2 linked regions of the Saccharomyces cerevisiae S288C genome follow. The protein of the gene in region 2 interacts with the protein of the main gene of each other region in a pairwise test. Each region holds a gene or a part of one and is shown on either strand. Other genes may lie near its edges.

Evidence for each region.
Region 1: the proteins of UBC6 (region 2) and PEX2 interact in a protein complementation assay, tested with the Saccharomyces cerevisiae proteins (one study listed by BioGRID).

Annotation. Positions count from the first base shown.
Region 1 is NC_001142.9:35,274-38,390, forward strand, and holds PEX2 (ubiquitin-protein ligase peroxin 2), read left to right. Parts: upstream 1-1,645; coding exon 1,646-2,461; downstream 2,462-3,117. Other genes in the region: oligopeptide transporter OPT1, read right to left, coding at 1-976; CBP1 (Cbp1p), read left to right, coding at 2,732-3,117. UniProt on the Saccharomyces cerevisiae protein: E3 ubiquitin-protein ligase component of a retrotranslocation channel required for peroxisome organization by mediating export of the PEX5 receptor from peroxisomes to the cytosol, thereby promoting PEX5 recycling.
Region 2 is NC_001137.3:357,562-360,976, reverse strand, and holds UBC6 (E2 ubiquitin-conjugating protein UBC6), read right to left. Parts: upstream 1,416-3,415; coding exon 663-1,415; downstream 1-662. Other genes in the region: AST2 (Ast2p), read left to right, coding at 1-475; ribose phosphate diphosphokinase subunit PRS2, read left to right, coding at 1,916-2,872; putative ubiquitin-specific protease UBP9, read right to left, coding at 3,247-3,415. UniProt on the Saccharomyces cerevisiae protein: Catalyzes the covalent attachment of ubiquitin to other proteins. Functions in degradation of misfolded or regulated proteins localized in the endoplasmic reticulum (ER) lumen or membrane via the ubiquitin-proteasome system.

The sequences.
Region 1 (3,117 bases), on a different chromosome or scaffold from region 2:
CACTTTGAGTACCAAAGATTGTGTTAGCGATGAAATTGTGTCTTGTCTTCGACCCCCATAGGATAACGTTGAAATAGGACAGACCGGTAAAGAGGAATCCAGGTACCCAATACCAGATGAACGATCCGATAAGGACGATTAAGAAGAACCTGTAACGGGGCATCGTCCAACCATTTGCGACTGTCTTTTCAACTTTTCTCGAGTGCAACGAATCAAACAAGGACACTGAAATTAAAGTCTGAGGCCAGATAGAGCTTGCAGGGTTGACGACCCATCTTCTGGTAAGACCTGCAGCACCATAACCAATCATTTGAGATGTCCAAACCAACAAGAACTGATATCCGACATTAAGTTTCATGTTGTAAAAGCTTCCCTGGGCGTTCAAAATGTACATAGCGTATGCAGTAGAGGAAGTAAGCGCCACGGCAATTGTGACCACGGCGTGTTCCTTTTTGGTAAATGGGCCCGGGTTTAAATCGAAAAATGGCACTTTAGAACACTTCCAGTCGGGCAAGAGAGCCAGTATCCTACCAATTGGGTAGCAAACAACTTGTGCAACAAGGAAGTTGATCTCTAGCGATGGATATCTCAGGGAAAAAAATTGATTAACACCGGCGAAAACTACCACAAACACCGTGGTCAAGAACCACGTTCTCCAGTGGTTGAGGCGGATGGTGGGGTCATCCTCGATGGACACCGCCGATCTCACTTCAGGATATGGAGAATTGGGCAAGTATGTAGGGTCGCCCTTCCAAACGAGACCTTCCTCCTGTATGGAATGCCTGTCGAATTTTTGGCTTTCCGGATCGCGGTCCTCCTCATCAGTAGTCGCAGTGAGATTATTGACGTCCTCGTCAATATTCTTAACGAAAGCATCTTTCTTTTCCTCTTCCATATTGATCTGGATAGGAATGGTTGTTGGCGTTGGCGAGGGCTCCGACTCCAACGAGTCGCTCTCCCTATAAATGGTACTCATGTGTTCTGTGACGTTATATAATTGTTGCGGTTATTTTCTGCCACACAGTCGAAAACTTTTTACCAAGAATACACAGCTTCCGATGATTGTCCATATATAGTCGAAACAATTCATTGAATAGCCCAAAATTTGAAAAAAAAAGAAAAATGATGGGCACCCCATGATGATAAGAGCTCTCTTTCTTCAACAACGATTGCTAAGGCGTTTACAGACCCATCGACTGCCCTTGCAGTGGGTTTGATGTGATTAACAGGCAGCAGCAACAAGCAACTGCTGAAAACCTTGGTGCCTTGCAGACGGCTATTGTCCTGGATTTTGTGTGACAAAACGTAGATGTGGCGTCTTGTAGTCGGAGGTGTGGCGGGCCGGAAAAATAGTGGAAAAAAAGAAAATTAATGCGATAGCGACGGGCAGGTAGGGAGGTTTGAGGGGTCCGTAGTATGCGTCTATCGTTGCAACAAGGGTGACTAATGCCATGTCTTGGCCTTTGATGCAACGTCTCGGAAGTTAGTATCGATCCGAGGAGTGGAACGGATGCGATTTCCCCTCCATTCTATCGATAAGGTTGCTGGGAAACGCATTATAAGGGATGAGTGAAGACGGAGGGAAAGCATAACGAGGAGAGATTGCCGAGATAACTGAGAAGACGTAATCTAAAGGCAACGCAGCATGTCTCGAGTTGCACAGCTCGACTCGATAGCGCTTGATAAAGAATTGTATGGACAGTTTTGGTCCGAGTTCAATGCAGCATTCAATACGAGTGAACACAAAGAGGAATGGGAGTTGGCACTGAACACAGTTGTGTTTATGTGCGCGACGAGGTTCCTGCCACACTATGGCTCTAGCTGTACGTATGGATCCGCACTCAGTGGCGTGGTTTTTCAGTGCAGGAAACGCACCTTGTATGTCGTCACTGTCTTGGCAGGGTACGTGTGGAAGAAGATCACACATATTATTTTTAATGGGCCGCACTGTGGGAACCAGATGATGTGGCTGAAGCTGTACAAATGGGTTAATTTATTGTATCACGGCTGTGATGTAACCAACTTCCTGAGGTTTCTAGCAGCGGAAGGGCCCAATGCGAGGGCGTTTTTGTCGCCGTTATACCGGGCTTTTAATGTCCATTCCACAAGGTTGATTCGGGATGGTTCTGCAATTGCCTCTGAATTTTATTCGAACTCTGTATTCGCTGGGTTAGAATACCAGAATAGACAATTGCTATGGAATGCACTATTAGAACTCTTTTCCAATACACTACTTACGAAAAGAGGACTCTTGACCTTTGTTAAAAAACCACCAAGGTCTCGTTCTACGACTACTTATAAGACAGTTTGCCCCCGTTGCGGCGGTTTTCCAACCAACCCATACCAGATCGCTTGTTGTCGTGCGAACTACTGTTACGTGTGCGTTGTAAAGGCGTTGGAGTGGTCTATGTGCGATGCCTGTGGATCCTCTGGGAGACTGACCGCCTCACCAGTGTACTAAAGGGCCCCGTTCCCTCGCTTGTATCTCTATATATGTGTATACTATATTCATATTCATGTTGTCAAAATCGGTCACGTGGTAAAGGGTCTGGTTTTTTTTTTTTCACTTTCTGCTCAAGAAAAAAAAGAAACAATAAAGAAGTGGTATAATATCATCATGGAACGCTGTACGGGACGATGTGGGAAGCGACGTCTGAAATCCAGTAATAATAAACAGTGAGCACTTTAGGATAGCAGTAGTTTGCATTTTGCACGTTTCCCTTTCCATGCAATGTTTTTACCTCGTCTCGTTCGGTACAGGACCGAGAGGTTTATAAAAATGGTACCTACCAGGACCTTGCGACGAATCAACCACAGCAGCAGGGATCCAATTCAAAAACAGGTCTTGGCCCTTATCAAAGCAAATGCGAATTTAAATGACAATGACAAGTTGAAAATACGGAAATATTGGTCTGACATGGCGGACTACAAAAGTCTTCGGAAACAAGAAAATAGCTTACTGGAAAGCTCTATATTACACGAGGTCAAGATCGAAGATTTCATCAGTTTCATCAATCGCACAAAAACCTCATCTATGACTACAAGAGGAATTTATAGAAGAGAATGTTTGTACCAATGCAAGAAAAACTTGGATCTAGTCAATCAAGTGGTCTCCCA
Region 2 (3,415 bases):
GGATACCGGTAAAGTTGTAGATTATGATGATTTTAATACTCTCAAAGAAACCGAAGATTATACTCAGGGTAAATTTAATGTCGTGTTGGACTTCATCGGTGGTTATGATATCTTGAGTCACTCGAGTTCTTTAATTCACGCTAAAGGTGCTTATATTACAACAGTTGGTGATTATGTTGGAAATTATAAGAAAGACGTCTTTGATTCTTGGGATAACCCTAGCGCCAATGCAAGAAAAATGTTTGGATCAATGTTATGGTCATACGATTATTCTCATTTTTACTTTGACCCCAATATCAAGATTATCCCCAAGAAGAATGATTGGATACATGAATGCGGCAAGCTGCTAAATGAGGGAGTCGTAGATTGCGTTGTTGATAAGGTTTATTCCTGGAAAAATTTCAAGGAAGCATTTTCCTATATGGCTACACAACGTGCTCAAGGTAAGCTTATAATGAAAGTTGAAGGTTTTTGAAATGGGAGTTTCTGTCTCCCTAGGTTTCACCTCATTTTTATTGAGGTTTCTTGGTCAATACATACTCAAAAATATAATTAATAATTCACAATGTTCATAATAAAAAGATCCGTTTTGTCTATATAATACTATTGATTTCTATTCTGTGTTGTCAAAATTTATCTAAAGTTTAGTTCATTTAATGGCTTCATTTCATAAAAAGGCCAACCAAAAACAAAAAAATAGCGATACCAATATAAACCATTGAAGAACTATCATTAGGTTCTTTGCCATCTTTCTTGGAATTATTTTCTGATTGTCTCAACGCTTGTTCAGCGCGTATTCTGTCTTCAGGGTCTAGAATTTCCTCCAACGAGATGACTTTTTCCTTCGCAGCCTTTGTAAAAGGGTCTTCTGTTTCATCACCTGTATTTGCCGCATCCCCCTCATCCAATTTTCTCTTTTCTAATGTCTCTACATTTTCCTGTACAACTTCCGGAAAAATCAATTTGAATCTAACATTTTGAAAAGTGTTATAACTTATGGAATTTCTTGCTAATGTCTTCTTCTGATGGTCTGATGTTGTAATTGATCCTGTCGTGGCTTCATCACTGGTCATGAAACTTAGTAACCCGTTCAAAATGGTTGAGACAGACCAGCCAGGATTCCAAGTATCAGGGTGGTAATCACTCATAGAAAGGCATAATCGTGTGTTGGGCTTGAAACGTCCATTCGGTGTTATCATTCTGATAGCCGGTGGTTTGTATGGATAATCAGACGGGAAAGTTAAAGTACCGTGATATTGACCGCCCTTGTAAGGAGTATCCGCAGGTCCTGTGATAATATAGTGCCACTCTAAAATATTATCTTCGTTGGGGCGAGCAAGAATATATGGTGGAGGGTTTTCCACCATCAACTTGTACTCTTTCGTCAATCTCTTGTGAGCCTGCTTTGTAGCCATTACTATTGTACGTACTTTGTTTGCAATTTGCGAATGCGGTTTTAGTTAATATTTAAAGTCTTTTCTGCGATATGCGATGGTAGTCTTCTTTATCACGGCTCCTAAAGTGTGATAATCGGAAAGTTCCTTTCTGTTCTCTGCAATCGATTTCGGCTTTTTCTGAACACAAATAACCAAAATTTCCTTATTTTATTGGGGAGGCTATCCTAATTGTAAAGTGCAATATTGCTGTGGAAGGATATCGACTCAAGCGACCAGTGGAATAGGATGGCGAGTTGGCTAGTTTAGCTCTCTCCGACATTGTTGCTATTGAACAGATACGGTATGCCCGTGTATTTATCCTCCTACCAAATCGCGCAGCAAAATGGTTAAGCACGTGACTATTTTTCAACAATGAAAAAATTTTGAACAATAGATGATATGAGGAGGCATCGAGGGATTGCTAAGAAGAGGATATTCCTCATCATCCAAAGACTATCTTGTCGTAAGTTTCGTTGAATATGTCTACAAACAGTATTAAGTTGTTAGCTGGTAACTCACATCCTGGGCTTGCTGAGCTTATTTCCCAAAGGCTTGGTGTACCGTTATCTAAAGTGGGGGTATATCAGTATTCAAATAAAGAGACGTCTGTTACAATAGGGGAAAGCATTCGTGATGAAGACGTATATATCATCCAAACTGGTTACGGGGAACATGAAATCAACGATTTCTTAATGGAATTACTTATCTTAATTCACGCTTGTAAGACGGCATCAGTCAGAAGAATTACGGCAGTAATACCAAATTTCCCTTATGCTAGACAAGATAAGAAGGATAAATCGCGGGCGCCCATCACTGCGAAGCTGATTGCCAATCTTTTGGAAACTGCGGGTTGTGATCATGTTATTACTATGGATCTCCATGCTTCACAAATTCAAGGGTTTTTTCATATCCCGGTTGATAATTTATACGGTGAACCAAGTGTGTTGAATTACATAAGGACCAAAACAGATTTCAATAATGCGATACTGGTATCGCCTGATGCTGGTGGTGCGAAAAGGGTGGCTTCTTTAGCGGACAAGCTGGATATGAATTTTGCCTTGATTCATAAGGAGAGGCAAAAAGCTAATGAAGTTTCGCGAATGCTGCTTGTCGGTGATGTTGCTGGTAAGTCATGCTTGTTGATTGACGATATGGCTGACACGTGTGGTACGCTGGTGAAAGCCTGTGACACATTAATGGATCACGGTGCTAAGGAGGTTATCGCTATTGTCACACATGGTATATTTTCTGGCTCAGCTAGGGAGAAGTTAATAAATAGTAGGTTATCAAGAATTGTTTGCACCAACACGGTACCTGTTGATTTGGATTTGGACATTGTCGATCAGGTGGATATCAGCCCTACGATTGCAGAAGCTATCAGAAGATTGCATAATGGAGAATCAGTCTCATATTTATTTACACATGCGCCTGTTTAAAGAAGAGGTATAAACGAATATATTTGTATAAATGTACTAACAGATATTTTGAAAAAAAATGCGTATATCTATTCAGTATTAGCGCTTATGCTGCCACCAATATTCTTCATCTGGTCTCTATGAGATTTTCATTAAAGCTTAATCTTTTCTGATTTACCGCCCTTGCTTTTGGAAAATATGTGAAATTTTATTGTGCTCTAAAAAAAAAAAGTTATTACAGTAGGTGAAGTGAAATACAACTAAATTCGAAAGATCAGGAACAATAGAAAGAAACGTGGAAATTATTTAAAAAAGGAAGAAAAAATGGTACACTAATATTGATACTTTTAGAACAGATGGGTCTCAACTATATGATGTATCGAAACAATCCCGATTTATTTGATGAAGCTCAATATTCTCGATTTTCTTTTTTGCTTATTGCGTTTTTTATCATTTAATGGCGTCTTGGTTTCTGCAGTCTTAACTTCAGGTATATTCCCCAAGGTCTTTTTGCGTTCAATATTTGCAGCTGCCCTCAATTTACGATCCCTTAACCAATCATCG